Linked DNA regions of Struthio camelus. The protein of the gene in region 2 interacts with the protein of the main gene of each other region in a biochemical or structural test. Links are inferred from orthologs where the notes say so. Each region holds a gene or a part of one and is shown on either strand. Other genes may lie near its edges.

What was found.
Region 1: the proteins of MAP2K7 (region 2) and GADD45B form a complex in vitro, tested with the Homo sapiens proteins (2 studies listed by BioGRID and IntAct). The link is inferred for Struthio camelus from reciprocal best matches to the Homo sapiens genes MAP2K7 and GADD45B.
Region 3: the proteins of MAP2K7 (region 2) and MAPK8IP2 form a complex in vitro, tested with the Homo sapiens proteins (2 studies listed by BioGRID). The link is inferred for Struthio camelus from reciprocal best matches to the Homo sapiens genes MAP2K7 and MAPK8IP2.

The regions. Positions count from the first base shown.
Region 1 is NC_090967.1:6,694,978-6,702,650, reverse strand, and holds GADD45B (growth arrest and DNA damage-inducible protein GADD45 beta), read right to left. Parts: upstream 2,684-7,673; 5' UTR 2,508-2,683; coding exon 2,470-2,507; intron 2,378-2,469; coding exon 2,276-2,377; intron 1,909-2,275; coding exon 1,695-1,908; intron 1,609-1,694; coding exon 1,495-1,608; 3' UTR 857-1,494; downstream 1-856. Other genes in the region: survival motor neuron protein 1-like, read left to right, coding at 5,085-5,111, 5,538-5,630, 5,777-5,971, 6,061-6,186, 6,621-6,743, 6,830-6,913.
Region 2 is NC_090972.1:4,043,550-4,050,998, forward strand, and holds the start of MAP2K7 (dual specificity mitogen-activated protein kinase kinase 7), read right to left. Parts: upstream 3,091-7,449; 5' UTR 3,043-3,090; coding exon 2,919-3,042; intron 616-2,918; coding exon of another isoform or gene 568-615; intron 1-567. Other genes in the region: sterile alpha motif domain-containing protein 1-like, read right to left, coding at 4,045-4,206, 6,476-6,587, 6,979-7,072. UniProt on the Homo sapiens protein: Dual specificity protein kinase which acts as an essential component of the MAP kinase signal transduction pathway. Essential component of the stress-activated protein kinase/c-Jun N-terminal kinase (SAP/JNK) signaling pathway.
Region 3 is NC_090942.1:659,267-667,838, reverse strand, and holds the start of MAPK8IP2 (C-Jun-amino-terminal kinase-interacting protein 2), read left to right. Parts: upstream 1-5,215; 5' UTR 5,216-5,288; coding exon 5,289-5,353; intron 5,354-8,572. UniProt on the Homo sapiens protein: The JNK-interacting protein (JIP) group of scaffold proteins selectively mediates JNK signaling by aggregating specific components of the MAPK cascade to form a functional JNK signaling module.

The DNA.
Region 1 (7,673 bases), on a different chromosome or scaffold from region 2:
CTCCTGGCAGTGCCAGCTCAGGGACAGTCCCTTGGCAGCTGGCAGGGAGGCAGGAGGGGCGAGCTGGGGGTGCTGCTGGGGTGTCAGGGCTCAGCGGGTGCCGGCAGCGCTGCCTCCCTGGGCCCCCAGAGCCTGCAGAGCCGCGGGGCTGGGAGCCCCCAGGCAGATGGGGTGCCTGCGGCTCTGCGGGCTGCAGCCTGTGCCTCGATTTCCCTTGCTGCCAGGGACCCTTGCACCAAAGAGGTGTTTGTGCTATTGCTGTAGTGTGAGGGTACAGCCAGGGAGTGATTTGGGGGGGAAAAAAACCCTCCTGTTCAAGGAGGGGGGTTGTTGCATGCAGGGCTGGGGGGCTGTGCCTGGCCCTTGGGGTTGCAGATGTTTTGGGGTCTGGGGAGCCCCGGCTCTGCCCATCTTCCCGTGCGGTGCTGAGGCAGGGCTGTGCCAGCAGGCACGGGGATGTGCTGTGCAACCCCAAGCGCCTGCCTACGACACGCTGCGTTTCTGGCTGCAAATCCCGCTGCAGAGCCCAAGGGACAGCTGCTGCCAGGGCCTTTGCAGGAGGCAGCGGGGCCAGGCCAGATGCCTGCGCCAAGGCTGGTTTGGCACTGCCAGGGGGTCCCGGAGCTGCCTGGCACCCGGCCTCTTCCTCCCCACAACCAGCCCCGAGGGCTGCATGCGGGGAGCAGCCGGCCATGCTCCTGCAGTGCAGGGCTGCCCGAGGCCTGGCCCAGTACCCCCTGAGAAATGGCCACCGGGGTGCAGGACCGGCCACAAGAACTGGCACAAAACCTGTTCCTGCTCCCAGGCGTGGGGTGCCCCAGGTGCAGGGAAGGCAGAAGATGAATGCAGGCACTGCTGAGTTTAGAAATTTTATTGCAAATGTTTTTTTTTTCAAATCAGTACAAGAATAGACTCTATAATAGATTTAGATCAGGGTCTCCAACGGGCTTGAGTGCACAGAATGAATCTGTTGTTGCAAGTCTATGAATATATAAGATTTATTTATCCCTTAGAAAATAAGTTCATTTGCAAATCTGTCCCTTTGCAGTCCACGCTTCCATTGAGTCCCAGATGCCAAAAAGAAAACAAAACCATCTCCATCTGTCCTCCCCGCGCTCTGCCGCGCCAGTCCCGGGCTCCTCCGCGCCGCGGCCGGCAGCGGCGCGCAGCAGGGCCCATCCTCCGTGGGGGGAAGCGCGTGCTGGCACGCAGCATGACTCCTCAGCACATCGCGTCTCCTGCCCAGCCTCGTCCTGCCGGGCTCCCAGCCACCGGCCCCGTCTCCGGAGGGCTCTGCCGGTGCGTCCTCGGCTCACCTCCTTCCTGTGCCCATCGGCTGGGCTGCTCCCTCCTCCTCTCCAGTTAAAAAGAAAAATAAAATCGGTGGGTGGTGGTTGTTTTTTTTAATCTGGTTGCTTCTCCTTCCCTCTTCTGTGGTTTATTTTTAATTTTTTTGTTTTCTCCAGGTTAAAAAGCTGGCAGTTGCCGCAGGGCTCAGCGCTCCTGCAGGGCCACATAGGGCACCCACTGGTTCCTGTCCCGGCTCTCGGCGCAGTAGCTGGCCACCTCGGCCAGCCCCTGGCTCTTCCAGGCGTCCGTGTGCGGGTTCTGGGGAGGCAAAGCGCAAGGTCAGTCCCCACCTGCAGCGCGGGACCGCGGCGCGTGGCTGCGCTGTGCATCACAGTCCCACTCACCGTGACTAAGAGGCAGTGCAGGTCGCGGGGCTCAGTGCCGGGCTCGGGCTCGCCCAGGATGGCGGCCAGGCGCTGCATGCCGGAGACGCGCAGGATGTGGATGTCGTTGTCGCAGCAGAAAGCCTGGATGAGGGTGAAGTGGATCTGCAAGGCGATGTCGCCTTCGTCCTCCTCATCGGTGGCCAGCAAGCACAGCACCACACTGTCGGGGTCCCTGCAGATGGCCGTAGTGTTAGGGGGGCCGGGACAGCACAGATGCAGGTACTGTGCATGTCCCATGACACGGTGGGGGGTGTGATGTCACCCCATGTCACCCGGGCTACTGACCCCAGCCCATGGGCAAGAGGCTTCAGAGTGACTCTTGCATGGTCTTTGGGTTTGGGCAGACTCCCCCCCTGCCCCCCAAGACAGACCCCCAACACTGGGGCTGCCCCCATGCAGCCTCCCTGCTCCAGACCCCCTGCACTAGCCCTGCTCTTAGATAGCCACCCCCCCCCGGGACAGACCCCGCTGCACCCCCTGCACTGATCTGCCGTGCACCCGCTCCGGCAGCCCCCGTGCATTCCCCCCCGGACACTCACACGTTCATGAGCTTGGCAGACTCGTAGACGCCCACGGTGAGTCGGTCCTGCCGCTGCGCCGCCACCAACACCCGCTCCACCGCCTCGCTCACCGCCTGCATCCTGCGGGGACAAGAGAGGCCAGTGAGCGGCAGCAGCGCCGGGCCGGTTCCCCCCCACCCCCCAAAAACGGTGCCCCCGGGCCTGGCACTTACTTGCTGCTGTCGCAGGGCACCAGCTCCTCCAGGGTCATGGTGCAATTGTAATCCACAGGGCGGGCGCCCAGAAGCCGAGCCCGGAGAAGGATCCGCGGCAAAGGAAATAGGTATTCAAAAATAAAAATGAAGCCCAAGTGCAATAATCCAGTAGCGCGGTGGGGGTCCCGCTGCAGCCCGCTCCGCTCCGCCCTGCTCGCCGCTGTACGCTTTTCTGAGCGCCGCTCCGGCCGGCGCCGCCTTTTATAGCCTCCCGCCGCTGGGCGGGGCCACGCGCGGCGCCCCCTCCTTGCCCATTGGCTGGCCCGCCACAAAGGAAAGAGCGGCCGGCGCGCGGATTGGCTGCCGCCTTCGGGCCCCACGTGGGGAGGGGTGCTCCGGGGCGGGGGGGTTTCACGGCGCGGGGGGAGCGGAGCGGGGCCGGGCCGACGCCAGAGCCCGGGAGCGACTATTTTTGGAGCGCCCCGAGCTGGGTGCACGCGGAAACCCCCGCCCAGAAACTGTCCTCCCCCCCCCCCCCCCGGGGCTGCGCAGGGACCGAAACAACGGGGAGGGGGGGTCGGTCCGCGCATTGGGGGTTGCAGTTGGGGGACGGGGGGGGGTCGTTCTGCGCAGTGGGGGAACGGTCCGTGCATTGGGGTTTGCAGCGGGGCGTGGGGGGGCCACGCATTGGCATCTTCGTGGGAGGTGTCGGTCCCTGCACCGGGGTCTGCAACGGGGGGTCGGTCAGTGCATTGGGGTTTGCAACGGGGGGGGGGGGGGAGGTGTTGGTCCACGGCACGGGGAATCAGTCGGTGCATTGGGGTTTGCAATGGGGGCCGGGGGGGTTGTTCTTGCGCTGGGATCTGCCGTGCAGGAGCAATCCCTGCCTTGGGGTTTGCGGGGGGGGGGGGGGGCTGGTCCGTGTATTGAGATTGCAAGGGGCCGGGGGGGGGGGTAATGTGTGTCAGACCGTGCATTCGCGTCGTCGTGGGAGGCATCGGTCCGGGCACCGGGGCCTGCAGCAGGGGTCGGTCCGTGCACTGGGGTGCCCCCGGGGGGGGGGGGGGGGGGGGGCCGCTCCATGCACCGGCGCCGCGACCGGCGGTGGCTGGCGGCTGCCACCTGCCGGGGACGCGCGGCCGCCGCAGGCCCCGTTCCTGCCCCGGCGGCGCCGCCCCCGTGCACGCGTGGGCCTCGCACCCACGAGCCCCTGCACGCTCCCGTCCCCTCGCACACGCGGCCTGTGCACGCCCCCGGTTTTGCACGCCCGGTTTTGCCCGCCAGCCCTTCCCCTCCGCTGCATGCCGGCTTGCACCCCCGCGCCGCCCACCCCTGCCGGTGTCACGTCCCTTCCGCGAGTGCACGCGTGTTGGCGCCTGTGCCAGCTCGCTGGGGACCGCCTTGTGCACGCGTGCCGCCTCGCGGGCCCGTGCTGCTCCCGAGCCTCCTTGCACGCTCGCTCGCACGTCGGGCTCCGCTCCCGTGGGCAGGAGCTCGGGCACGCTCCCGGGGCGCTCCGGTTTCGCCCTCCGGGTTCTTTCCCTGCTTGGGGTCCCTGATCTCGTTCCCCGCGGCCGGGCTGGCTCCGATGGCCACCTGAAGGACAGGCGAGCGGCGGGCTGTGCCAGGCCCTGCTCCCCGTGCAGGTCCCCAAGCACCACGGCTGCCGCTTGCTGGGGCCCCCTGTGCCCCCAGAATTGTCACCCGTGGCCCCGAGGGAAGCCGGTGATGGAGTCCCCTCTTGGCATGGGTGCTGGGGTGCCAGCAGCTGGGCTGCGGGCCGGGGTCGAGTCCTGGGCTTGGCGTCGCTCGGTCCCTCCAGCCAGCCCTGAGCCTGCGTGCCCCGTCCCTGCAGGGACCTGCCGTGGGGTCCCTGTCCCCGGTCCCTGTCCCAGTCCCTGCAGGGTCCTGCCACCCGCATCTCCCTGTTAGGGGTGTTAGGGGTTTCCAGCTGCAGCTGCGCGAAGGCGCCCTCAGATCGGGGATTTCGGGGCCCCGTTCCTCACGCAGTGTTGGTGGCTGGGCCTGGATTGCCCCGTGAGGGTGGCTGCGGGCAGCCTCGGGTCGGGCTCCATCCAGCCGTGCACCCTGGCCGGGTCCCTGCCGCCCGCTCCGGAGCAGGTATTCTGCGGGGGGCTGCCTCTCCCCAGAGTCCCGGGCTCATGTACAGGCAGGTCATGTTCCCCCCCGGTTCCCTAGTGGATGCACAAAGTTGCCACGATATTTTGTAGCTCCATGTGCGCGGCCGTTGCGGTGGCAGCTCGGCACCGGCTGCGGCTGAGAGAGCAGGGCCGGGGCTCGCCGCCGCTGAGCACCGACACAGCTCGGTACACCGATGGCTGCGGCCCGCCGCGCTCCTCCCGGGGCGTAGCGCACCGCCTCCCACCGGAGGGCGCGGCGGGGGGAGGAAAGCCTCAGCGACGCTCTGCCCGCCTGCCCGACTCGCTGGTAGCGCGGGCGTTGCCTTCTGGGAAGTGTAGTCGTGGGGTGCCCCGCCCCCGCGTGCGCCGCCGGGGCGGAGACTGCATTACCCAGGGGGCGCCGCGCGGTGCGGCGCGGGGGGCGTGGCGTGGCGCTGCGGGGCGGGGCGGGCCCACGTGCGGCCGCGGGTTCGGTGCCGCCCGCGCCGGGCCATGGCCGAGAGCGCCCCGGGGTCGCGGGTGGGCGGCTGCGTGGCGGGGCCGGAGGGAGCCGGGCCGAGGCTGGGCGGACCCGGACCGGGCCGGGGCGGGAGGGTCCGGACTAGCTGGGACCGGGGGTACTGGGGCTGGGCGAACCGGAACCGGGACCGGACTGGGTGTGACCGGGGGTACCGGGACTGGGCGGACCGGGCCGGGGCAGGAGGGTCCGGACTAGGTGTGACCGGGGGTACCGGGGCTGGGTGAACTGGAACCGGGACCGGGCTGGGGCTGGAGGGTCTGGACTAGCCGGGACTGGGGGTGCTGGGCCTGGGTGAACTGGAACCGGGACCGGGCCGGGGCAGGAGAGTCCGGACTCGTTGGGGCTAGTTGAACCGGGACAGGACCAGGGCCCTGCTCTGCCCCCCCGCCCCAGCCCCATCTCAGCCCGGCACCTTCCTCCCCCAGGATGCTCCGGATGAAGAGTCGGACCAGGTCCCTGAGTCCCCACCGTTGAGCGTGCCCCCCAGCGAGGAGGAGGAGGATGAGGAAGGCTCCCAGGTGAGCGGGCGAGGTGACAGCCCGTCCCCACTGCTGGCTCAGGGAGAGGCTGCCTCGCACCTCGCGATCTGCCGGAGGGGGGAGTGTCACGCTGGGGACCCCTCTCCCTGGGGCCGGCGTGACCCCCCCCCCACCTCTCCCCGCAGTGGGTGGTGGGAGCCGCCTGCTGCACCATCTGGTCGGGCGACGGGCTGCTGTACCCCGCCACGGTGCGGGCGCTGGACACCGCCGCTGGCACCTGCCTGGTGGAGTTTGTTGGCTACGGGAACAAGGAGGAGGTGGCGCTGGCAGATCTCCTGCCCCCCTGCATCCCCGTGGCGGGCCACCTGGGGGCCCAGTGGGTGAGTGATGCCGCGGGGCGCTGCGGCACCTTTGGGGTGGGCAGGGGGTCTGTGGGGGGGCTGCTCTGATGCTCGTGTGTCCCCGCAAGGCGGAGGAGGGTCCCTACGGGGAGTCCCGGAGGCCAAGACCCCCCCCGTCATGGGAGCTGCCCCCGGGCAGGAGGAGGAAGAGCAGCAAGGGCAAGCAGGCGCCCTGCTCCCCCTGGCCCCCCGAGGTGAGTGTCTGGTGTCGCACCGGGCTCGGGCCCTCTGCACCCCCCGCCCCTGGCTTGCCACGGGGCTGGGAGCTGCCTTGCGCCGTGGGGGGGCACCCAGGGCTGCGGGTGCCTCCTCTGGAGCGGCGCCGGTGGCCCAGGCTCTCCCTGCCCTGCCAGCCTGCGGCCAGAGAGCGCAGCGGCAACCAGGGGTCCTGCCCGTCCGTGGGGATGGGGACCAGTGAGCCCGGGATCACCCTGTCATGCAGCTCCAGCTGTGGATTTGGGGAGGGAGGGATAGACGGGTGCCAGCAACGCTGGCAGCTGGCTCTGGAAACTCCTTATTTCCCTGCCTGGGGTCCCCGTCTCCTGCTGGGCATAGTGCGGGCGAGCTGGCACCCTACGGCAGGGTCCTTCGGGGTGGGACTGTCCCTAACGGAGGCTGTTGGTTGTAGCTGGTGCCTCCGCCGTGGCCCCCAGCCCCACTGTGCACGTACCAGGAGGAGGAGGAGGAGGAAGCCTTGGCTGCGATGCTGATGTCCTGGTACATGAGCGGGTACCACACCGGCTTCTACATGGTATGGCAGGGCCGGGGGGCAGATGGGACAGCCGGGGTGAAGGTGTGATCCTCCCCCGTGACCCCCGCCCTGCTCTGCGCCCCCAGGGTCTCCGCGAGGGCCGGGCAGAGGCGGCCGCGCTCCTGCCGAGACGAGGGTGCAGGCAGAAGAAATCGTCGCTGCACAGCTAGGAGGGCAGGTGGGCGCGTGGGGACGCGCCGGGGCTGGGAGTCCCCGTCCCTGCGCCAGCCACTCTCGCAGCGCGTCCCGCTGCTGGGCTGGGGCTGCTGGCATGGGGGAAGCGGGTGCTCGGGATGCCCCAGCTCCCCTTTTCTGCTGCTCACCCCTGTCCGTTCCCCCTTTTCCAGCTGGATCTGTCTCCCTGCGCCCCGCTGGAGGGGCAGGTTTTGGGCAGAGAGCAGTCCTGGTCTCGTCTTGCGGTCAGAGCGCCCAGCAGCGGGTCTCCGGGAGAAAAGGGAGCCGCTGTCCCCCTGCCACGGGCTCACTGTGCATCGGTGCCGGAGGTGCCGCGGCCCCGTGGGCTACCCCAGCTGCGCTCCCCTTGCACGGGGATTTTGGAATAAAGCTGGTTTGTGGGATGCTGCGTGCTGGAGCTGTCTGCATCCCTGGGGAAGGGGTATGGCCCCACGCAGGGGCCAGGCGCTCTCTCTTGTCCCGGGCCCAAACAGGGCTCGGTGTCCAGGTTGGCCTTGCTGGGGCTGCGTTTGCTCAGAGAAGTCGCAGCCTGGCCTCTGCTGTGTGTTGCTGGAGCCCGAGGTGACCGAGCTCGCTGCAAGAGGAGGGGGACAGCCACGCTGCTGGGGGGACGCTGCCTGGCTGGGCACAGGTTGAAGGGTGCTGCCTGGGGTGGGCAGGGGCTGGTGCTGTCCGGCCACGTGTCCGGGGATGGGGCACAGCACCGGGGCGATGGGGATGGTGCTCGGGGAAAGC
Region 2 (7,449 bases):
AATCGCCCTGCTCCCGTGCCGATTTGCCCCGTGCAGGTGCCGAGTTGCCCCGCTCCCGCGCCGAGTCGCCCCACACTGGTCAGAGCGCTTGCCAGCTTCTCCTGTGCCAAGTTGCCCCAACCAGGCACCAAGTCGCCCCGCTCCCACGCCGAGTCGCCTCGTGCCGGCTGGAGCGGTCACCAGCCGCTCCCGCGCCAACTCAGGCCGCTGCCGCGCCAAGTCGCCCTGTGACGGCCGGAGCGCTCGCCGGCCGCCCCGCACCGACCGCCCCCCCGCCCCATGCACCCCGCGGCGCCGCAACCATGCGACAGGCAGGGGACGAGCAGAGGGAAGGGGAAAAACCGGGAGCAGGAGGAACAAGGTAAAGCGGCGCCCTCCGAAACGAGGCACCCGCGAAGGGAAAAGCACCGTGCGGCCCGGCCGCCGCACGCTCGCTCCCCTGTCCCCAGCCCAGGAGCAGCCGCGTCTCGGAGGTGTCGCAGGGAAAGGGGGAAGGGGGGGGACAAGCGTTAAAAGTGAGATGATGCGGGATCAATCCAAGCGGCGCGGAGGAAAAAGTCGTGGTACCTGCTCGTTGGGATGGAGCGGGAGCAGGGCTTAGAGTGATCACAATAACTGGAGGAGGAGAAGGAAGAAACGGGACAAAACAACAACAACAAAAAAAAAAAAGGAGAAAAACACACCATAAATCACAACAGAAATGAACCAAGGCAGCAACAGAAAATTAAAATGAGAAACAAAAAAAAGAAAAGAAAAGGAAAAAGGAGCAAAATAAGAAGAATGGCAAAAAGGAAAAACTAAAGGAAAACTCAAATCGCGTCACGGGAGGGGAGAGGAGCAAATGGGGCAGGGGGAGTATGGCGAGGGGGAGGCAGAGGAGCTGCCGCCGGCAGGCTAAAACTAGCAATTCCAGGCCCGAAAACGCAACGCTCCCTAAACCTATGAAAAAGCAACTTTTTCCAAACCTAGAAAAAGTGACAGCCCCAAGGTTGCAAAAAAACGACGTTTCCCAAACCTAGAAAAAGTGACCTTCCCCAACCCTCCAAAAACAGACGGTCCCCAGGCCCTGAAAAATCGACATTCCCCAAACCTACAAAAAGCAACAGTCCCCAAACCTAGAAAAACAGCACTTCCCAAACCTACAAAAAGTGACGTTCTGCCGGCCCCCAAAAAACAAGGGTTCCCAAACCTAGAAAACTGACATTTCCAAAAGCAGGAAAAACCGACGTTGCCCAGGACACCTTCCCGCGCGCTCTCGGCCGAACAGCCACCGGCCAGGGTGACGCTTCGCCGGTCATGCACCAACCCCACGTGCCCGTGGGGCCCAGGAGCCCGGGGGTCGCCTCGCCACAACCCCAAACTGCTGCTCGGCCACGACCCGTGCGGGGAGACACTGCCACTGCCATGGGGCGCTCGGTCCCAGCTCCGCCGCGTCCCGCGCGGGGAGACGCCACCGCGGCCGCGGGGGGCTCGGTCCCGGCTCCGCCGTGTCCCGCACGGGGAGACGCCACCGCTGCCCTCCTCGTCGTCCCGCGGCGCGCCTGGCCCCCGCGGTGCCCGCCCCCGTCAAGGTCACCCCGGCTGCCCCGGGGCTGGCGCCGCCCCGGCGAGGCCGCGGCCGCCCCCCACCGTTCTCAGGGCTTCGTCCTCCCCAAGCCTCCGAGTCCCCAGCGTTCACCCCAAAACTCCCCTCAGTGCCTCCGTACAGCCCCGACGGCCCCCGTTTGCCCAATGCCCCTCTGTTTGCTCCAACACTGCCTCAACTGCCCCCAAAACCGCCCCGACTGCCTCCCGTTTGCTCCAATACAGCTCAACTGTACCCAAACTGCCCCAACTACACCCAAAACTGTTGACTGCCTCCCCTTTTGCTCCAATACTGCCTCAACCGCCCCCTAAAATCCCTGTTAGAGCCTCAACTACCCCCATTTCACCAACTCAAACCGCAACTGCCCCTGAAGCCTCCGAAACAGCCTCAGTTCCCCCCCCATAGCCCCAAATGCACTCCCAACTACCCCCAATGCACCAAATACAGTCTCAATTGCCCCCAATGTCCCTAAATATAGTCTAAGCTGCTCTCAATATCCCTAAAGAATGCCCCAACTGCCCCCAACCTCTCAACACAGCCCCAGCTGCCCCCCATTTCCCCCAGACATGGCCCAGCTGCCCCCCGGCCTCTCAGTACTGCCCCAACTGCCTTCAGCGTCCTCAAAAAAGCCCCATCAACTCCCACTTCCCCCAATACAACCCTAACTCCCCCCATGCCCTGCAAAATTGCCCCAAATGCCCCCCCACCTCCCCCAGAGCTGCCCCAATTGCCCCACAATAACCCCAACACTGCCCCAACTACCACCCATTTCCCCCAGTAGAACCCTGTTTACCTCCATACCCCGAAAAACTGCCTCAAATACCCCTCATTTCCCGCAACATAGCCCCAACTGCTCTCAGAGTTTTCACTACTGCCCGACTTGCCCCCATATCCCACAAAACTGCCCCAAATATCTCCAATATAGCCCCAATTACTCTCAGAGCTTCCAATACTGCCCCAAATACCCTCCATTTCCCTCAATACAGCCCCGGCTGCCCTCAGATCTTTCAGAACAACTCCAACTGCCCCCATATCCCACAAAACTGTCCTAAATACCCCCATTTCCCCCAATACAACCCTACTTGTCCCCCAAATAAGGCCCAACTGTCCTCAGATCCCTCAAAACTGCCCCAAACACCCCCTATATCCCGAATACGGCCCCAAACACCCCCTATTTCCCCCGGTACTGCCACAACTGCCCCCGACCCCCTCATGATTGCCCCAAATACCCCCACAGCCCTCAGCATTGCCCCAACTGTCCCCACCCCCAGTTGCCCCCCCCTCCGGCCTCCCTTCCCCCTCGGGTCTCCCCTCCCCCCCAGCCCCTCCTTACTAGGCCGGGCCCGAGCCGGGCTGATCTCGAGGTTGAGGTCGATCCTGCGGCGGGCCTCGCGGTTCTCCTGCTTGAGCTTGGCCTCCAGGCGGGAGAGTTTCTGCTCCAGCGAGGACGCCGCCATCTTCGACCGGAGCCAGCGCCGCCGCGCAGCCAGAATACACAAACAGCGCAGTGCGCAGGCGCCGACTGGCCCCGCCGGGCCACCGTCCGCCACACGCGCGCGCACACTCACGCTCCGCTGTCGCCGCTTTTAGGGCTGCCGCCGGCCACCGTCCGCCACGCCACGCCTCCTTTCGGAGACTTCGCGGACGCGCATGCGCGCGTCTCGCAGCCTTCCTGCTCCGCCTTACCCACGGCAAGGCCAGTGGGCGGCAGCGCGCATGCGCAGTCGTTCCTTCCCTCGCTGCGTGCTGGCGCCCCCGTGCGTGACGGCGGCGCAACCCCAGGCGGCTCCGCGCATGCGCACACAGCTGAGACCCCCCCCAAAAGTGCGGACCCCCCCCCTTAGGACCCCTCCCAAATGCTGATCTCCCCCCCCAAGCACCTCCTGCAGGGGGTCAGCAAGAGGCCTGGACCCCCCCCCCTCCTTGGTTGTGGGGGGAAAGGCCAGAAGGGATGCAGGTTTCCAGGCTACGCCCCCCCCCAACAAAGAAAATACCCCAAATATCCCCCCCGACCCACACGGGGGCTGTTCCTTCACTTTTTTCCTTTTTTTATTTAAAAAACCCCAAAACAAGCCAGGCCCAGAGGAGATTTGGGGGGGGGGGGAGAGAGGGAGAGCAGACCCCAGTAAGGGGGGGGGGGGAACAGCAGGGGCGGTGTGGGGGGGGGCACAGGCTGGGGTAGGTTAAAACACAACTCTCCGGACAGCGACCCCCCAAAACCGTCCCGTTGGCCCCCCCCACCCCCACCCCCAAAAAAAAAGAATAAAAACCCCCCTCGCCCCCCTCCCTGTGCTGCAGAAGAGGGTGGGGGAGGCCCAGCCCGGGAGGGGGAAGAAGGCAGGGAGGCGAAGAGGAGGAGGTGGAGGAAGGGGCTAGGTGCCCCCCCCCACCACCACCACCAAAGCCCAAACCGTCCCCCCCCCCCAACCCCCGAGAGTCCGTGGGGCGCGCGGGGGCGCTCAGCCGAGGAAGGCCTCGGGGCCCTCGTCCTCCTCGAAGTGGCTGCGCTGCAGCAGCTTCACGTGGTACTCGTAGATCTTGAGCGCGGGGCCCAGGCGGATGGAGAGCCCCGTCAGCACGTCCGCCCGCTGCATCAGCAGCAGCGACTTCCCGTCGATCTCCTGCGGGGTGGGGGGCACCCGGCCCGCGTCACAGATTTCCCCCCCCCCCCAAAACACCCCCAGGCTGTGGCTGCTGCCCGGCCCTGGGGTGGGGTAGGGGGTGTGCAGTGGGATGGGGTGGGGGAGTGGGTATCTGCTGGGGGATGGGGATGCTCTAGGTGATGCTCTCTGGAAGAGGGGCACCTGGCAGGGTGGGGGGGGGCACCCCCAGGGGACACTGCGTGGGGACAAGGGGCACCCGGTGGGATGGGGGGGGACACTGGGGGATGCTTTGGGGGGGGGGGGCACCCCCAGGGGACATTGCGTGGGGACAGGGGGCACCCGGTGGGATGGGGGGGGGACACTGAGGGATGCTCTCTGGGAGGGGGGCAGCTGCTGGGGGATGCTGCGTGGGGAGGGGGCACCCAGGGGGTGGGGGGGACACTCTGGGGGATGCTTTGGGGGGGGGCACCCCCAGGGGACACTGCGTGGGGACAGGGGGCACCCGGTGGGATGGGGGGGGACACTGAGGGATGCTCTCTGGGAGGGGGGCAGCTGCTGGGGGATGCTGCGTGGGGAGGGGGCACCCAGGGAGTGGGGGGGACACTCTGGGGGATGCTTTGTGGGGGGGGGCACCCCCAGGGGACACTGCGTGGGGACAGGGGGCACCCGGTGGGATGGGGGAGGACACTGAGGGATGCTCTCTGGGAGGGGGGCAGCTGCCGGGGGATGCTGCATGGGGAGGGGGCACCCAGGGGGTGGGGGGGACACTCTGGGGGATGCTTTGGGGGGGGGCACCCCCAGGGGACATTGCGTGGGGACAGGGGGCACCCGGTGGGATGGGGGGGGACACTGAGGGATGCTCTCTGGGAGGGGGGCAGCTGCTGGGGGATGCTGCGTGGGGAGGGGGCACCCAGGGAGTGGGGGGGACACTCAGGGGGATGCTTTGGGGGGGGGCACCCCCAGGGGACATTGCGTGGGGACAGGGGGCACCCGGTGGGATGGGGGGGGACACTGAGGGATGCTCTCTGGGAGGGGGGCAGCTGCTGGGGGATGCTGCGTGGGGAGGGGGCACCCAGGGGGTGGGGGGGACACTCTGGGGGATGCTTTGTGGGGGGGGGGCACCCCCAGGGGACACTGCGTGGGGACAGGGGGCACCCGGTGGGATGGGGGAGGACATTGAGGGATGCTCTCTGGGAGGGGGGCAGCTGCTGGGGGATGCTGCGTGGGGAGGGGGCACCCAGGGGGTGGGGGGGACACTCGGGGGATGCTTTGTGGGAGGGGGGCACCCCCAGGGGACACTGCGTGGGGACAGGGGGCACCCGGTGGGATGGGGGGTGACACTGGGGGACGCTCTCTGGGAAGGGGACACTGCATGGGGAGCAGGGGGCACAGGGCGGGGTGGGGGGATGCTCTGAGGGGGCTCTTTGGGAGGGGGGCACCCCCGGGGGACACTGTGGGGGGACAGGGGGCACCCAGTGGGATGGGGGGGGGGGTGACACTTTGGGGGATGCTTTCTGGGAGCGGGGAACTCCCAGAGGACACTGCGTGGGGACAGGGGGCACCCAGAGGGATTGGGGACACCCCAAGGGGGACACTGTAAAGGGACAGGGGGCATTGCACAGGGATGGGGGGAGGCACGTGCCAGGATGAAGGACACCGCACGGGGACAGTCGCCGGGATGGGGGACACCTGCCAGGGTGGGATAGGAGGGAGACACTGCCTGGGGACAGGGGGGACACCTGTGAGTATAGGACTGCCTGCCAGGAGGGGACACTGCCCGGAAACAGGGGAAGGGGACATTCACAGGGACAGGGAAAGGGAACATTGCCTAGGGACAGCCATTAGGGAGCACCTGGGGACAAGGAGCTGGCCCAGGACCAGTTGGGGACAGGGAGGGGGACAGCTAGGGAGTGGCAGGGGAAAGCCATCAGGGAAGGGGAACAGATGGGGACAGTCAGGGGACAGCCATAATCACAAATGAGTAACAGGGACAGGAACCTGGCCCGGGTTGGGGACATCCTTCAAGGAATGGGGGACACCCAAGGACCTGCTGGGGACAGCTAGGGATGGAGGGGACCTAGCTGGGGACGGGGACAAGCCATTGGGGACAGGGGGTGGAGGGGACCCAGGTGGGGCTGGCGGCCACATGGGGAGGGGGCTCAGCCCTCCTCCAAGGGAGGGGAACCGGGGGGAGCTGGGGGGTGTAGGGTCCCCAGTGTCCAATCAGGGGGACAGGCGGGGACAGAGAGGGATGGAGGGGACGGAGAGGGGACAGGAGGGGACCCACCTGCTCCTGGAAGGCCGTCGCCTGCTCGGGAAAGCCGGCTTCCGTGAAGTAGTCGACCACGTCCCGAACCGTCCACTCCACGGGGTCGGCCGCCTTCTCCTTCTTGGTGGCCCTGGGGACATCGGTCACACCGGGGGGACATCGGTCACACCGGGGGGACACCGAGGACATGGGGGAACACGGCCTCAGCCTCGGGACACGGGGCTGCAGCACCCAAGGGGACACAGTACTCCGAGGACACCTGAGGGTTGCACCCTGGGGACAAGAGGCCACCGCGGCATCGGGGACAGAGCCACCGCGCCATTGGGGACGGAGTCACCACGCAGAGGTCGCACATAGGGACGTGCAGTGGCCACCAAACTGGATGGGGAGGGGCAACGGTCACATGAAGGCGGGGAGGGGACCACGGAAGACATCACGGCCTGGCTGATAAAGGACTGGGGACATGGGGGGACATGGGTGGGGACACAGGGGACACACGGGGACCTGGCCCCCCCACTCACGTGCAGCTGAAGGGGGCCCCGTCGGCAGCCTGGACCCCCGGCCGGCCTGGGGACAGGGGCACTGAGGGCTCTGCACCTGCCAGCGCCGGGGACACTGCGGGGACAGCAGGGGTCAGCACATGGTGTCCCCATTCCCCCCCCCAGCACCCCCAAAACCCCCTGAACTGTCCCCAATATCCCCCCCCTGCATCCCAGGACCCCCAGAACAGCCTCTGAGACCCCCAAAAGCCCCCAAACTGCCCCCAATGTCCCCTAGCACCCCCAAACAGCCCCTCAAGACCCCCAAACTGTCCCCCAGCACCCCAATATCCCCACAGGACCCCAAACAGCCCCTCAAGACCCCAAAACTGCCCCCCAGCACCCCAATATCCCCAAAGGACCCCAAAACAGGTCACCAAGACCCTCAAACTTCTCCCAGCACCCCAATATCTCCACAGGACCCCAAAACAGGCCAAGACCCCCAAACTGCCC
Region 3 (8,572 bases), on a different chromosome or scaffold from region 2:
AGAGCCGCTGGTGCAGCCGGGGGGAGGCTCCGGGCCGGTGCCGGAGCAGATGGGCCGGCCGGGATGCGGGGCGGGGGCGATGCCGGAGGCAGCTGTGCTGCCCGGCCATCTGTTTCCCCCGCCGCGGATCGGCAGGGAGATGCCGTAAGCCGCTGCCGCCGCCGCTGCTTGTTCCCCCCTCGGGGAGAGGCAGGGCTGGGCCGCAGGACGGACAGGCGGTGTCCCTGGAGAGGCCCCTTCCCTGCGGCAGAGCCGGAGCTGCCGGGACGTGCTCCGGCCCGGGGCGCGCGCCGGGGCCGTGGATAACGCGTGCAGCGGCGGCAGGATGCGGGTCTGGGGCCGGGGGGCCGGGTCGGGGGCTGCGGCAGGCCGCGGTGCTCCCCGTTCCCTGCCGGCTCCCAGCGCCCGGAAGCGGAGCCGGGCTGCGATCCCCGGGGCGCCCGGCGGAGAGGGGCCCTGCCGAAACGGCAGCCGCTGCTCCGCGCGGCGCCTGCCAAACCGCGGCCGGCGCTTCCTCGCGGCCCCGAGCCCCGTGCGAAGGGTGCCGGGAGAGGAAACAGCTCGTGGGGAGCTGGCGAGCGGCAGCCCAGCCGCCCGGCCGGCCCCTGCCGAGCTGGGCTGCGCTCCCGCGCGTTGCTAGCGGGGCGCTGCTGCACGCGCGGCGCCCGGAGCGTTTGCCGCCGCGTTTCCCAAGGGTGCGTGAGACCTTCCGGGGGGAGGGCGGTCTCCTATAACAACCCGTTTCCCAGAAGCAGGAAGCAGAGCCAGCCCCCGGCCCAAGGGGCAGGGATGCTCGCCTGCCCGGCTAGCGCTGCTGCCCTGCGGGAGGCCGGTGCGCGGGCGTCTGCGCGGGTTTGGCCTGCTGGTGCTGGGAGGGTGGTGCTGAGCGCCAGCCAGCCGCCGGCGCCCCGGCTGCGTCCCGCGGGAAGCGCAGGGCCCTTCGCGCCGCTGTCGGCTGCGTCTAGCAGCGGATCAGGAAGGACATCCCGGCTACCGCTCCCCCGGTAGCAGGCGGCTCCTGATGGACCTGCTCTGCCGGGGAGCCGGTGAGGTTTTCGCTGCTTCCCGGGGAAGCCGTTGCAGGCCCCTGCGTGGGACGGGGACCGCTCGGCCGAGCGGGGAGGGCAGGGCCCCCTGCACTGCATGGTGCTCCCATCTGGGCTGGGGTCGGAGGGGTTGGCTGGAGAGCCGGCTAGCTGTTGCCCGTGTGTTGCCTCCGTGGCGGCACAAAACTTGCCTTGGCCTTCCCGCTCGGGGCTCTTCCGTCCCTCTGGCAGGAAAGGTGGCTGGGATGTGCATGACCGGGACGGAGAGGGACGGGAGGAGCCTCAGGACCCCTGCTGGCTCAGCACCCCCCCCCCCCCCACATGGTGGCTCAGGCCCTGCAGTGCAGCCTCTCTGCAGGATACGGTGTGCACAACGGGGCGGCATTGCAGCCTCCGGTCAGGCCCAAGGGCAGCGGACCGAGCGGGGCCCCGCCGGTCCAAGCCCTCTGCCCTGGAGCTGCCAGGGCCTGCGGCAAGCAGTCGGAGAGGGGGATCCGCACAACAGGTCCCTGGGGCCCAGCACAGTGCCCTGGCCAGGCTGGCCCGGCGGTCCCACGGGAGCAGCTGCAGCAATCCTGCTGTGAGCCAGTTCCCAAGCACGGGCCGGGCAGCTGCAGAGAGGGGCGGGTGCACCCAGGCCCACCACCCCTGGGCCCCACTGCCTGTGGACCCCCAGTGCCACCTGCCCGCCAGCGCGCAGACTCCCGTGCTGCATCCTGAATCCCTTCTGCCTTCAGATCCCCCCTGCTGTATCCTGCTCACCCACTGCCTCCAGTTCCTGTATGTCTTCTTACAGCCCCCTTGACACCCACTGCCTCTGGTGCCCCCACCGCTTACTGGGCCTCCCATTGCATCCTGTTCCCCCATGCACGGACCCCCCCACACCCCACACACACTGACTCTGGGGACCTGCTGTTCCCCAGATCCCCCTACTGCCTTCTGTGCCCCATACTATATAGGACCCCCCCCACTGCCACTGGGCCCACCACCTTTGGGTCTCCCCAATGCACAGACCCCCTGTGCCTCTGTGTCCCCACTGTTTTCCAGCCCCCACTGCATTTGGCCTCCCCCACTGCCTCCTGGACTCCCACTGCCTCCTGGCCCCTCTCACTGCACCCTGCACCCACAGTGCGCCAGACACCCTCCACTTTCTGACCCCCACTATACCCTGCCCCCACTGCACAGACACCCCCCCCCAATGCCTCGGGGTCCTGCAGGGCCCCATATGGCTCCTCCACATCCCCAGACTCCCCCACCTGTCTTGATCCCTGCAAGGCAAACTGACCCCCGGGCCCAGCTGGCCCAGATGCCCCTGCCTTGTAGTGGGTCTACAGCCTTGGGCAGGTCCCAGCATCAACCCCAGCATCAGCCTTGGGCATCAGCCCCCAGCATCAGCCCTGACATCAGTCCGGCATCAGCCCCGGCATCAGCCCCCGACATCAGCCCCCAACATCAGCCTTGACATCAGTCCGGCATCAGCCCCCGACATCAGCCCTGACATCAGTCCGGCATCAGGCCCTGGCGTCAGCCCCAGCATCAGCCCCCGACAGCAGTCCCCAACATCAGCCCTGACATCAGTCTGGCATCAGCCCCTGGCACCAGCCCGCAATCAGCCCCCGAGATTAGCCTGTGATCAGCCCCCGACATTAGCCCCTGACGTCAGCCCCGAGATCAGCCCCAGGATTAGCCCCCGGCAGCAGCCCCCGAGAGCAGCCCCTGAGAACAGCCCTGCATTAGCCCCTGACAGCAGCCCCCGAGAACAGCCCGGTACCAGCCCCCGGGATCAGCCCGGTACCAGCCCCTGGGATCAGCCCTGCATCAGCCCCCGGGAGCAGCCCCCGAGAGCGGCCCGGAGCACCAGCCCCCGGGAGCAGCCCCGGGCCGGGCCGGCAGCGGCGGCGCCGGGACAGCTCCGGGCTTCAGCACCGGGGCGGGGACAGCTCCGCGCGGGGCCCTCGGCCGCCTCCCGCCCCGGCCCGGCCCGGCCCGGGGCTGCGCAGCGCGGCGCCTCCCTGCACAGCCTGCATGGCCCTATACAGCCTGCATGGCCCTGTACAACCTGCATGGCCCTATACAGCCTGCATGGCCCTGTACAGTCCTGCATGGCCCTATACAGTCCTGCATGGCCCCATACGGCCTGCATGGTCCTGTACAGTCCTGCATGGTCCTATACAGCCTGCATGGTCCTGTACAGTCCTGTATGGTCCTATACAGCCTGCATGGCCCTATATAGTCCTGCATGGCCCCATACAGTCCTGCATGGTCCTATACAGCCTGCATGGCCCCATACAGACCTGTATGGTCCTATACAGCCTGCATGGCTCTATACAGTTCTGCATGGCCCCATACAGACTGCATGGTCCTATACAGCCTACATGGCCCCATACAGTCCTGCATGGTCCCATACAGCCTGTATGGTCCTAATCAGCCCTGCATGGCTTTATATAGCCTCCTGCATGGTCCTGTGCAGCCCTGCATCTCCCTATGCAGTCCTGCGCCTCCCTATACGGCCCTACACCTCCATATGCAGCACTGTGCCTCCCTATGCAGCACTGCACTTTGCTATACAGCCCTATGTAGCCCCCTGCATGGCCCTGTGGTGCCCTGCACCTCCCTATATGACCCTGCACCTCCCTGTACAGCCCCCTGCACAGCTCCATGCAGCCCTGCACAGTCCTGTACAGCTTTGCACCGCCCTATATAGCCCTCCTGGCATGGTCCCTACACAGCCTTACACTGCCCTATACAACCCTTCACCTACTTACACAGTCCTGCACAATCCTGCACCTCACTATACATCTCTGCACCTCCCCTGTGCAGGCCCCTACGTAGCCCTGTGCCCCCCCTACGCAGCCCCTGCACAGCCCTCTGCATTTCCCCGCAGAGCAGCCCTGTGCAGCCTCCTGTCCCTCCTTATACAGCCCCTGTGGCCCTGAACACACCCCTGCTCTCCATACTGCCTCCTGCTCTCCTCCCTATACAGCCCCCTCCCCTCTCCCTCTACATCCCCCCACTCCTCCCTGTCCCTCTCCCTATACAACCCCCTCTCCCCTCCATAGACAGCCCTCCGTTCCTCCCTGCTCTCCTCCCTATATGGCTCTCTCCCTTCCCTATACAGCCCTCTTTCCCCTCCCTATACATCCCCCCTTCTCTCCATAGACAGCCCCCTCTCCTTTCCCTATACCACTCGCTCTCCCCTCCTTATACTTACCTTTCTCCCCACCCTATACAGTCCCCCCCTCCATAGACAGCCTCCCAGTCCTCCCTGCTCTTCCTCCCTTTACAACCCCTCTTTTCCCTATACATCCCCCACTTCCCTCCCTATACACTTCTGCCTGTTCTCCTCCCTATACATCCCCCTCTTCCTTCCCTATATAGCCCCCCTCCATAGACAGCCCCTCTCCCCTCCCCATACAGCCCCTTCTCCCCTCTCCATACATCCCCCTCTCCCCTCCCCCTACATCCTCCTTCCCCTCCCCATACATCCCCCTCCCCTCCCCATACATCCTTCCCATACATCCCGTTCCCTCCCTATACATCCCCCGTTCCCTCCCCATACATCCCCCCTCCTCTCCTCATACATCCTCCCCATACATCCCCTGTTCCCTCCCCATACATCCCCCCTCCCCTCTCCACACATCCTCCCCATACATCCCCCCTCTCCCCTTCCCCATACATCCCCCTCCCCCATACATCCTTCCCATACATCCCCCCGTTCCCTCCCCATACATCCCCCTCCCCTCCCCATACATCCTTCCCATACACCCCCTGTTCCCTCCCTATACAACCCCCCCGTTCCCTCCCCATACATCCCCCTCTCCCCTCCCCATATATCCCCCCTCCTCTCCTCATACATCCTCCCCATACATCCCCCCTCCCCTCTCCACACATCCTCCCCCTCCATCCCCCCTCTCCCCTTCCCCGTACGTCCCCCCTCCCCTCCCCATACAGCCCCCTATCCCCACCCCCCCGCCCCACAGCCGCCCTCCCCCCGCAGCCCCCTCTCCCCCCGAGGCGGCCCCCGCCCCTCCCGCACCGCCCCAGCTCCTCCCTCGCTATAAGGCTCCCAGCGCGCCGCCCGCCCCGGCCCCGGCCCCCCGCGCACCCCGCTCCGCTCCGCGCCGCCGCCCCCGCCGCTCCCGCCGCCGCCGCCGCCCCGGTGCCCGCGCGGCCCCGCCCGCAGCGCGGCCCCGCGCAGCCCCGCGCAGCTCCGCAGTCCGGCGCAGCCCCGGCCGGGAGAAGATGGCGGATCGCGCCGAGATGTTCTCGCTCTCCACCTTCCACTCGCTCTCCCCGCCGGGCTGCAGGTGAGCCCCGGGCCCGCTTCGGTTCGGTTCGGCCCGGCCCGGTCCGGCCCCGCGCCGCGGCCGTGCGTGCGTGGGGCGGCGGGGCTGGGGCGGGGCGGCCCGGGGCCCGGCCCGGCCCGGCTCGGCCCGGTGCGGCTCGGCTCGGCCCGGTGCGGTGCGGTGCGGTGCGGTGCCGCCCGGGGCGCTGGGGCCGCGCTGCGGGCGCGGCGCTGCGCTGCGGGCTCTGCCCGGCCCGGCCCGGCTCGGCTCGGCCCGACGCGCCGCCCTTGGCGCTGGCTGCGGGCCGGGACCGGACCGGGACCGGGACCGGGGCCGCGCGGCCGGGCCGGGGGGGCCGCAGCGGGGCCGCCCGGCGCCGCCGTCCCGCAGCGGGGCCCCGCGTCCTGCGGGAAGTTTGGCTGCCGCTCTCCGTCTCCCCGTTCACCTTGGGGCCGCGGAGCCGCCGCCGCCGCCCCGCTCCGCTCCGGCCCAGCGATGCTGCTGCCGCGGGCCGGGCCGGGCCGGGCCGGTCCATCGGGGGCGCGGGGGCCCCGTCCGGGCCGTGCGCGCCGAGCGGCCCTTCCCCCGCGCGGGCGCAGCTCCCGTGGCGGCGATTAGCGCTGCAGCAGCCTCCGCCGCATCGCCCGGGCCGGGCCGAACCGGGCCGAGCCGCTCCCCGTCCGCCGGGAGCCCCGCGCCGCGGAGGGCAGAGCCGCCCGGGGTCCGACCCCTGCCCCGCCGCGTCCCCGGGGGCTGCGGGGAAGCGGCACCGGCTGGCGTCTCTTTGTCTCTCCTGACACGCGCTGCGCCTCCGTCCCTCCCGCAACGCTCCTGGGGGCTCTGCCTGTTGTTCACGCCGCAAACCAGGCCCTCCCGGGCCCGGCGGCTCTGTGCTCTCGGGGGGGCCTGGCGGTTCAGCGCGCGCTGGCGCGAGGGAAGGGGTTGCCAGCCAGGTTTGGCCTGCGATGGGAAGCCCTGTTGTTGGCGCGTGGGGAAGGAGCTTTGGCTTGGTTCGCTCTCGGCAGACGCCCCAGAGACCTGCCCGAGCTGCTCCGTCCGAGCAGGCTCGGCGCTTCCGAGGTCTAACGTGGGGAAACATGGTGCTTGCTAAAAGCAGTGGCTCCCAGGCCCCTCTCCGCCGCGGGAGGAGTGCCCGGGCCCGGGTGCAGCCTGACGCAGGTCACCTTTCCAGCAGGTCCTGCAGGAGCTGGAGGCGGCAGGGCCAAGCTGCCAGCCGGACTGGCACAGAGCGGGGAGGGTGGACGCGGCAAGGCTCTCACCCCCTAGCCCTGCTGGTGGGCTTGGCAGGGCTGGGGTGCAGCCCAGGCTGGGGGCCATGGGGTGTGTGGGGCTGGATGGGAGCCGTGCCAGCAGGGTGGGGAGGCCGGGCGGTGGCCAAGCCAGGCTGGCCCAGCATGGGGCAGCGGGGTCTCGGCAGCTGGATGGAGGGTGGGAGGTGATGGTGGTGGTGGTGGGTACCTAGGGAGGCCCTGAGGACCAGAGGAGCTGAGGTTTAGTTGGGATGCTGGACATCTTCGTTGGCTGGCTCTGACCCACATTGAGCAGGTCTCGTGGCTGCTTCCCAGGTCATCCCTGTCCCTGGGTCGTGGTGGGACCTTGCGCTGGTGTCATGGGGAGCGCGGTGGGGAGGACACAGCCTCTGCCTTTGCCATGGCTGTTCTGCTCCTTCCTGCCTCCCGCTTGGCATCTGGGCCCAGAGCAATTCCCCAGGGGCTGCGTTTTCCGGGTGGTCGCATCCTCCTCGCAGGGATCCCCTGCACAACTCTCCCCCTTCATCCCCCTGGAGGCCCTGCCCTGCTGTGTGGCACGAGGGGGATCAGAGCTGGCCCGTAGCAGGTTACCACTGAGGTTGCGGTGTCAGGTCTGGCCCGGGGATGCATCCCTGCACACTCCCAAGCTGGGCCGTACGAGGCAGCGGGGCTGGAGCCCTCGGGGGCGTGGGGGAGCTCTGGGTCGAGGAGGGGGCTGGCTCCTGCCCCCTGGGGAGTTCAAGCCCATGGAGGGCATTGCAACCCGCGACCGTGCTCTTGGCCATAGCCACATCTCATGCATCTCCTTCTGCAAACGCTTCTGCTCCTGTGGCAGTGAGTTCCACTGGCTGGAGACCCCCCGGCAGGGAAATCCTCTCCTCCTGTCCCGTAGTGATACGCTGCTTTTCCACGTCTCCTTCTGTCCTTGTGCTCTGCGAGGGACAAACAGCAGCAGCCTGGCTCCTGTTCTAGTCACATCTGTTATTCTCCTAGCCACAGACGATCGATCTTCCCTCTGGCTCGTGCAGGAGCGTTTGGCGTTTAAGGCCCCTGACACCGGCTTTGAGCAGAGCCGAGGGGCAGTGGAGGAGCCTGGTGGCAGGGCAGAGGGCAAAGGAGCAGTGACCGTTTTGCGTTGGCTACTGGACCCGCTCTGCTCCTAGCCAGGAGGAGGGCGCGGGGTGCAGGAGCTGCACCCCTGTGCCAGGAAAACTGGGTCAAATCCCTGGGGACTCCCTGGCTGCCAGTGGTCTCTGCTCCTCATGTGCCCAGGGAGCTTGCACCAAAGGCTGCAGGTCTGCACGGAGCAGGGGGTCTGCAGGCTCCTCTCCGGCGAGCAGCGCTGCGGGGGGTGCCCCCTGCTCCTGCCAGCAGAAGGGGCCTGGAGCCCCGCGTGGCAGCAGCACGGTGCTGTGCGCGCTGCGTCTTTGCTGGACCGTTCATGCCCGTCTGCAGGAATGGGCCTGAGTTGGTGCTGGCCCCCAAGACACAGCCAGGGCACAGGAAGGCCCCGTGCGCCCAGCGCCTTGCCGTGCTGCCTGCAAGGTGCAGCGCGCACCGCTGCATTCAGCCGGGCTGCGGCAGGCCAAACTGCACCCCCTGCACACTGCTTGGGGTCTCCTCGCTCGCCAGAGAGACCCCCCCCCTCCCCAGAAGTGCACAAGTCCCCCCCATTGCCTGGAGGAACCTCAGTCGGTGGAAGGATAAAGCCCACAGGGATGTTGCCGCCACAAGGGGAGCAGCCAGCGTTTGTGATGTCTTAACAGAGAGAGGTCGATAATTCCTGCTTCAGCCAGGCCTTGCAAGGCCTGAATCCAAACTGTGCCTCTTCCCAGCCAGGCCCTGGGGAAGGTCGTTCCCAGCCTGGGGCTTCCTGGGGGTGGGCGAGAAGCTGCAAAAGGAGATGTGGCTGGGGGGGAATCGCTGTGAAAAGCCGGGGCTGCACACGTGGCTGGTCCAAGGCGGGTCC